2 linked regions of the Yarrowia lipolytica genome follow. The protein of the gene in region 1 interacts with the protein of each later gene in a biochemical or structural test. Links are inferred from orthologs where the notes say so. Each region holds a gene or a part of one and is shown in the gene's direction. Other genes may lie near its edges.

What was found.
Region 2: the proteins of YALI1_F02047g (region 1) and YALI1_D26808g form a complex in vitro, tested with the Saccharomyces cerevisiae proteins (2 studies listed by BioGRID). The link is inferred for Yarrowia lipolytica from reciprocal best matches to the Saccharomyces cerevisiae genes RAD16 and RAD7.

Annotation. Positions count from the first base shown.
Region 1 is NC_090775.1:201,388-206,375, reverse strand, and holds YALI1_F02047g (uncharacterized protein), read left to right. Parts: upstream 1-1,658; coding exon 1,659-4,193; downstream 4,194-4,988.
Region 2 is NC_090773.1:2,678,249-2,682,394, reverse strand, and holds YALI1_D26808g (uncharacterized protein), read left to right. Parts: upstream 1-1,557; coding exon 1,558-3,378; downstream 3,379-4,146. UniProt on the Saccharomyces cerevisiae protein: Component of the global genome repair (GGR) complex which promotes global genome nucleotide excision repair (GG-NER) which removes DNA damage from nontranscribing DNA.

The DNA of each region.
Region 1 (4,988 bases):
TTTGGATGATTTTTTTTCTGAATATCAACCGACTTTCGGTCTTGGCGTGACTGTACAGGTAGTACTGCTGGCCTGGCCACCAGCATGACCTCTCAATAGTCTAGACACTGGCCACTGAAGGTGCTACAACTACAAGTATCTGACACTTCACCACTCAATCCCTAGACACGCCACAACCGAGCCATTCTACAACACGAGGGTTCTGAAAGATATCGCAGTGGCCTCCATAGTATAGCTCTCTAGGAAGAGGCTGTCTTAGCGCGGTCGAGGAGTGTGCCATTGAACTGGGCCGTGGGGATGATACCATTAGAACAGACTAGAGTGCCTTGGACCAATAGAACAGCCGTGGCTTGTCTTCCGTGACCCATAATATGCTAGTATAGTACAAACAATTTCTAGACTAGATAGCCAGGTATATCCCCATTGTCCTACAATCTTGAGCCGAGGGCCAATAAAAAGCTACAAAGAGGAGCAGGGTTTTGGTTAAATGATTGGAAATATCTGGAGCTCCCGAATGGTATTAAAATCTACGTGGCTGGAGTCTTTCATGTGCTCTTGGAGTGAATTTTGAGCTAGAGAGTCGTATAGTTAGATTAATGGTTAAGGGAAAAGCCAGCTGGGGGCCCAAATTCGATGATCTAAATTCGCCAGGGATATAATAAATTTCTAACCAGAAAGAGGACAATGAGAGATTGTCAATAATGCAACTTTTGAAAAGTATTTCCATACAATAATTCATTTTATTGCTGTATGTCGAATGATGAAGACTCAGCCTAATACTTAGACTTTGTTTAGACAGAATTTGGAATCATTCGAACAACCGAGGAAGGTACGTGAATAACGAAAATTCCGCGAATGGGTTTGGAAATGCTCATATATCACAATATTCTAGGTTACAGAACATTCAACTTCTCTTCGTGAAGTTATAGCACACCCTTGTCTCTGGTCTGGTATTAGCACACAGCACCAAAACACTCTGGTGAGGACAAACACTGTATAATCTGCTCAATTGGTTCAATACTGCACATATCTGTGTCCCCAAGGTAACCCACGACACGATACTACAGTATTATTTGTATCAGTTGAATCCTAGGTTGAATGAACTCCTATAGGCTGTTATTTTCCATCGCCCATTGTCAAGTCAAAAGTGCGCATCTTTGATGTACTTATAGCCATGATCCCTATGTGTACACTGCTAACCGCCCTTATGAGTGATGCGACTAAGCCGCAAGAACCCGACACAAGAATATATATATATATATATATTAATCAGCTTAATTTCCCGTAATTTTCTCGATTTTATCCGTATTTTGTGTCTTTTTTCCTACTGTTCTTCCACCCGTCTATGCTCAACTGTGATGCGGCTCGGTGGCGAAATTTCATATATCATTTTAACATCAAATTACAATGCCGTAGAAGCAGCTGAGACAAATTGAAAAACGGGATGGAGTTCCGAAATACACCACAAGACCGAAAAAATCGGTTTAAAATGTTCTTCTGTCCTTTCCACCGCGTCCCGGAGATATCGGAGTTAATCAGTGCCCAAATAGGCACTGTAAGCTTAAAGTGACCGATCCAAATTTCAGTTGGGAACTTTTCTTATCGTGCAGTGCATCTCAGCATCTCAAGCCCGCTGCACACCTCTCCGACACAAGACCATGACAGTATCCGGCGACCTTTCCAGCGAAGACGGCGGCGGATTTGTGGTCAGCGACGCCAGTCCAGCCCCCGAAGCGCCCAAGAAGGAAACAAAACTGCCGACGTTCAAGCGGAAGCCGAGGACCGCTGCAACTAACAAGGCCCAGCTCAAGGAGTTCGATGACGAGGGTAATGAGGTGGTTCAGGACCCATCCAAGACCAGATCTGCTTCAAGTCAGGAGCCGGCTGCCGCGCCTAAGAGACGTGGCCGTTCCAGAGCCGTTATTGATGACAATAGCGAGGCTTCTTCGTCGTCGTCGCTCGCTACACGAGCTAAAGTCGCCACCCGATCCCGAGCCACAAAGCCAAAGGCGACACGCAAGCGGGCAATAGTGGTGAGTGACGACTCTTCCGGTGATGAGTATAAGGCCAGCGATGAGTCTGATCGAGAACAGGCCGTGGAAGATGGAGGGTTTATGATTGCGGATGATCTGGAGGAGGGCGAAGAAGAGAAACCCAAAAAGAGAAGAGCTCCAGCTAAAAAGAAAGCCAAGAAGGACGACTACGATGAGCTGGATGAAGACGGAAACAAAAAACCCCGGTATCTCAAATACTACGACCGGACTACCAAGGCTTTGTTTGAACAGCATCCTGAGTTGGAGAACACCTTTATTGATCTCGACAATAAACCGAGGATCCAGGTTGAAAAGGCCGAACAGCCAAAGTCTATGGCTGTAACTCTGCTGCCGTTTCAACAAGAGGGTCTCAACTGGCTTTTGAAGCAGGAGGAGGGAGAATACAAGGGCGGTATTCTTGCTGATGAAATGGGAATGGGTAAAACTATCCAGACGATTGCCTTGATCATCGCCTCGGGAGTCAAGCCCAACCTCATTGTCGCCCCTACCGTTGCTCTGATGCAATGGGCCAATGAAATTAACGACCATTCTGCGGGCTCTCTCAAAGTGGCTGTTTACCATGGAGCCAACAAAGATTCATTCTCTGTGAAAGATCTGGAGGGCTACGACTGTGTGATGACGACCTATGCGGTTCTAGAGAGCGTTTACCGACGTCAACAGAGCGGTTTTGTGCGCAAGGGAGTCGAGGGAAAGCAGTACAAAAAGTCTCCTTTGCATCAAGTTCAATGGGGAAGAGTTGTGCTAGATGAGGCTCATAATATCAAGGATCGGGCAAGTAACACCGCCAGAGCCGCCTTCAATCTCAATACCGAGAAACGGCTTTGTCTCTCTGGCACTCCTCTTCAGAACCGAATCGGTGAAATGTTTTCGCTGATTCGGTTCCTCGGAATCAAACCGTTCTGCGAGTATTTTTGCAAAAAATGCCCCTGCCGATCTCATGACTGGAGCTTTGTCAACAACCGAACATGTGTCACGTGCGGGCATCGACCCATGGACCACACAAACTACTTCAACCACGTGCTCTTGAAACATATCCAGAAGGGAGGTATCAGCAAAGAAGGCAAGGAGAGCTTCGGCAACATCCAGAAACTGCTCAAGCACATTATGCTGCGTCGAACCAAGGTCGAGAGAGCAGATGATCTCGGTCTACCCCCTAGAATCGTCACTATTCGACGGGACTTTTTTAACGAGGAGGAGAAAGACCTCTACCAGAGTATCTACTCGGACGTGAACCGGAAATTCAACACCTATGTGGCACAGGGAGTGGTTCTCAACAACTATGCCAACATTTTCTCTCTGATTACTCGAATGAGACAGATTGCAGATCATCCTGATTTGGTTCTGAGACGTGCCAACCAGGGAGAAGGAGGATACATTGACAATGCTATCATTTGCCAGCTATGCGACGATGAGGCCGAAGAACCCATCAAGTCCAAGTGTCACCACACGTTCTGTCGAGTGTGTATCAAGGACTACTGTTCTGGAGCCTCTGACTGTCCCGTCTGTCATATCAACCTGACTATCGATTTGAATGCCCCCGCTATTGAACAGGAGACCAACTCCAAGGAGAAAACATCGATTGTTCAGCGAATCAACATGACTGGTGGCTGGCGATCTTCCACAAAGATTGAGGCATTGGTCGAGGAGCTATACAAGCTGCGAAGCGACAGACAGACCATCAAAAGCATTGTTTTTAGCCAGTTCACATCTATGCTGGATTTGGTGGAGTGGCGGCTTCGACGAGCAGGGTTCCAAACCGTCAAGCTCCAGGGTAACATGTCCCCTACCCAGCGACAAAACTCCATCAAATACTTCATGGAGAACCCACAGGTGGAGGTTTTTCTGGTGTCTCTCAAGGCCGGAGGAGTGGCTCTGAACCTATGCGAGGCATCTCAGGTGTTCATCCTGGACCCCTGGTGGAACCCTTCGGTGGAGTGGCAGTCTGGAGACCGAGTCCATCGTATTGGACAGCATCGACCTGTTAAGATTACTCGGTTTGCGATCGAAGACTCCATCGAGTCGCGTATCATTGAGCTTCAAGAGAAGAAGGCCAGTATGATTCATGCGACTCTGGGACAAGATGACGGAGCCATCAACCGGCTAACCCCTGCTGATATGCAGTTTCTTTTCACTAACTAGAAGTATAGACATGATAGATGTTACGTATGCTCTATGGAAGTCTGTAGGTCATGTAGAAGTGACAGCGCCTGTCAACCGAAAGACAACTTCCTATGGAGCATTTGAGCCGTCAAAGATTCTGTATTATCAACTGGATGTCAACCTTTCTATAAACCATGGAATAACCGTCAACAAACACCTCTGTGCAATCTTGCGATGCTCGATCTTGGAGAAGCACGCCAACACCGTGTGCATTCATGGAGTCTACACATGCTGCGATATTTGGGGACGAAAAAGAACTTGTGGTGTCAGAAGAAGGAGGATGATGATGGTTTGAGTCCTGTAGTGTCTGGAGTGTTATCTCCATATCCAGAGAACAGTATATGAGCTGCCAAGTCTTACCACTGTCCAGAAGCCAGGCCATGAGGAAGCCAGAGCCGTAGAAAGCCTCGAACATTGAGAACTGGGAAAATGGGCTATGGGCCGTCAACACGTCCACAGCGTGCCATCTACCGGCACCAACATCAACTCTTTAGTTTGGCAGTCTCACTTCTAAGGAGTAGGACTACGATACGAGGTACGTATGGCTAGGGTCTGTCAGAACGTCAGAACTGATATTGACCCGTTGCGAAATCGAAAAACTGTGAGAAAAGTGCAAAATCGAAAAACGCAAAATCGAGCTGCACACCAACTAATTATCGTGCTAATTATACCGATGAGACCTGTTAGAAGCACCGGATTAATCGTAGAAGAGAGAACAAGCGTACGGTCAAGAGGACGAGAAAGAACAGGTACAGTATCGTAAATAGAGTGTGC
Region 2 (4,146 bases), on another chromosome or scaffold:
CTCTTTGCACAATGAAACGCTCTCGGGCGTAAAACGGACTAAATCCCAGTGTAGGTTACAACCATCAGAGTGCCGCCCGTTGTACAAGACGCACAATCAGAAACGTAGAAGCGTTGGTTTTATCGCTAGTCGACTGACAATACTGTTTGAAGCACGTGTCTCAAGTCCTCGTAGCTCGGCTTGTTCTAGTAATTGGTGGTGGAACAAGGTACAAGGCACGGCGGTCGACACTCAGACTCTGTATGATGAAGGCTCTTGTATGGAGGAGGTACCGTACAAGCATTGAATGAATTGCACGTCGGAGGCATTTTTCAACTTTGCCAAACGTTTTCATATCGGTTCTTTTCCCCTTAATCCATCTCCGGGACCTGTGGAACGCACCCATACACTCGGTTGCAACCACGTCTCTGGCTGAAAAAGTAACGCCAACCTTTGACAGGCCAGTAAAGGGCCTTTCATGAGAATAATATTGTTTTCCAATTAGCCAGGTTTCACTTTGGAAAATATCCACACTTCCACAGGCTCGAGCACTTACTCAGCCATACCCTCAAGATTTAGACCTGTAAACCATGCTGGGCAACTTGTTTCAGCACACTTCCCCGAGCATGCAAACAGGAAATGCGCAGTCAAGACTTGAAAATACTCACAAAAAATACGTCGTATTGCCCCTCAAGCCACTTTTGTCGCCGGCTTTTGCTTTTTTCCGCCCAGAATCTGCCAACCCCGCATCGCAGTAAAGTTGGTGCTAGCGGAACCATCGCACCAGCGTTACATCGGAAGGGGGGAGGGCGGAGAGAGGAGAGAGGTCTCGTGACTGGAGCCGTTTCTGTAGAGTCACGCCTTTTGAATATTTGTTTTCTTCTGTGGGAAACAAGTCTATGTGTGTACTTGTTCATATGAGTATGGTAGGTATGTCGCGGTTGATTGGTGTTCAGCAGATACGGTTCCGGTGCTAAACTAGTTGATGGCAGAGTTAAGCAATTGTTAGCGCGTATTACTGGATGCTTGTTTGTAGTGGTTACGACAGTCTGTTGAAAAAGATGGGATTCACTCTTGGTGATGGGTTGCAAGGTTGGTCAAGTCAGGATAGAGGCAGGAGCAACAAGTGGGAGAAGTGGGAGAAGCGGGAGGGGTTTTCGTTACCATCTTGGAAGGGATGATACATGAGGGCCAGACTAGAACTTTGCTTCCAAGCTATCCAAGATCTGGTGTACAAGGTCAATCTGGTGTTTGTTTGTTGCGGCTCTGGTTTCAACACCATGAGTGTGACATAACGGACTGGGTCTGAGTAAAGTGACAGATTGTCGAGTTCATTCAACAACATGGTGAAGAGCAATCTCCTCATGGTCTCAAATCTCCTCATGGTCTCAAACCTCCTCATCTTAGAGAGTCCGTGAAATCGACTTCATCAACCGCAGTTGTGTCTTTGAAGGTATGTACAGCAACACGTGTTATTGCATGCTATAAGTTACCGGATCCCTGTAGAATCCCGTAATGTGGTCTCCCGTTTCCCTCCTATCGCCTCATCGATAATCGCCGCCGTTGTTGCGTTCGTATATGTCTGATTTTGGTGGCGTGCGTTTGTCATGCACCTCATCTGCACCAATTTACAGGTTGGTGATGGGAGGCGAAACTTGGCAAAAAAAACAGAACCACGCCACCCATCGACACATGCGCCACTACAGACACAGACAGGCTGTGACGGGCTCGGGCGAGGTGCGTGGCCCCAACTCCGCGCTGACGGAGTTTCTCAAGGAGCAGGGAATCACGCGACGACGAGAGTCTTCCGAGCCACCTGACGAGGTGGGTCTGGAGGTCGGAGATCAGGGCCAAACGTCTCAGACGGCGATCGAGCTGTCGGACAATAACACGGACGACTCGTCCGGGTCCAGTGCCGACGAAGACGACCCAGATATCGTTCGCATCCGCAATCTGGCTCGCCGAAAACGCAACTGGGACGAGTCCGAAGACGATCCGGACATGACATCTGAGGAGGAGATCAAGGGAGTCAAGAACCCGGGCCAGAAGGACACGTGTGCGGTTTGCGGCGTCTTGTTTGTGGTGACCGCCTTCTCCCGCAACCACAAGAACGACGCCCTCAAGCTGCTGTGCTACGACTGCACCATGGAGGAGGTGAAGAAGGAAAAGGAGGCCAAGAAGCGGGACCACAACTTGCGAAAGCTGCGGAAAAAACAGGCTGAGGCGCTTCTCGACCAGAAACAGTACATCCGAGTGCCCAAGCTCCAGGACATGTGTATCACTCTGATCACCACCCATATTGACCATGTGGAGGCTCTAGGAGATATCGGAGGCGAAAACAAGAACAAAATCAGCCGCATCTTATCGAGAAACCGTCGACTGGACTCGGAAACCATGAAGTTCTTTTTCGACACCCAGCTCAAAAACCTCGAGTTCTGGGACTGCTCCAATATCGACTCGGAATCACTCCGAATGATTGGCTCCTTCTGTCCCAATCTGGAGGAGTTGGTTCTGGGCATGTGTGGGCGGCTGCGAAAGGAAGACCTGCTCTATCTGGGCGAAAAGCTCAAGTCGCTGGCCTCTCTGTACATCGATGGAGCGTTTCTTATTTCTGGAGACACTTGGAACGTCTTCTTCGACATGGTAGGAGGCGGTCTCAAGGAGCTCACTATCAAAAACAGCCACCGAATCTCCTCGGAAAACATTGTGTACATGTGTGAAAAGTGCCCCAAGCTGGAAAAGTTGGTGCTGAGCAGACTCGAGGGATGCACCGACCCCATGGGATACGAAATGGCAGCTCTAACCCTGGGAAACCTCAAGGAAATTGAGATTAGTTATCCTCAAGACGAGTCACTTGTTTCCGATGATCTCATCAGTGGCCTGGTATCTACTTGCGGTCCCCAACTCAAGTCAATCAACCTCGATGGTTGTTCGGCGCTCACAGACAAGACTCTAGGCACTCTGCGGGCATGTACAGCTCTAGAGTCCTTGTCTCTGAGTCATGTGGACCAGCTGACCGACAACGGAGTGGCATCACTGTTCTACCAGTGGGAAAACCCCGGTCTCAGTGAAATCCACATGCGCAAGTGCATTGCTCTGGGTGACGATTCGTTCAGAGTGCTTGTGGACAACTCGGGACCGACGCTCAAGAGCATCAGCGTCAACTCGTGGGCAGAGATTGGGGTCGACACGGTGAAGACGGTGTGTAAGAGTCTCCCGGGGCTGCAGGACATTGACCTGGGCTTCTGCAAGGGTATCAACGACGAGTGTGTGGAGTTGTTGGCGGAAAACTGTCCCCTGTTGCAGAAGATTGAGGTCTATGGAGACCCGGGAGTGACGGAGAATTGCAAGGTGGGCGACGGTATCAAGTTGATTGGCAGGATGAGTGATGTCGTCTAGCATGTGCCGGTGTTGTTTTCCACAAAATGTTTGTATAATGAGATATTGAAACGATTCAAGTGCATTGTTCTCAAACCAGCTGGAGACAGTACATACTGTAGGTGTTCCTCTGACATAGGCGTTTCCGTTCCCTGGCATAAGCGTTCGTCTGATGAAAAAAAAAAAAAAAAAAAAGCTGCTTTGGGCGACTAAAAAAGATTGCAGGCACCCCAGGATTCTCCGTATGGTCTCCCACTACAATACTAAACTGGGCTTCTCTGGTGCCTTGACTATGGCTGATCGGACGGGAAGCCGTATTTTCACCGGGATATGGCCGCAACCGTTGGCTCTGAGAGTTGTAGGGGGCTTTTTACGGGACCAGAAAAGTCTCGTGGGTGAAAACTTGAATGCGGCTTTGAGCCCCTGTAGAAAGGAGTAGACGCACTGAGAGGAGGTAGTGTACGTAAGAGAGATGGTAGAGACTCCGATGGTACTATCGGTTTCGCTGTGGAAGGGCTGGAACATACAGTTTTGGGGTATGATGTTGAGTCACCAACCTCTCTGCTCGAAGAGGTGAAACATGGTAGAAACGGCTATAACGGGTTAGTCATAATGATTTCCTGAGGAGATATAAATAAGTGGTGAACTCCATTTCTCTGTTGAGTCAATATTAAAACGAACCGTCAAGGTGACTTGTGGTATTACTATGTATAGTCTGTCTACTCCTGCCATATTGCGACCTGCTCTCCTCACATTATCATCATTTAGTAGACATAGGCGGTGTAGCTG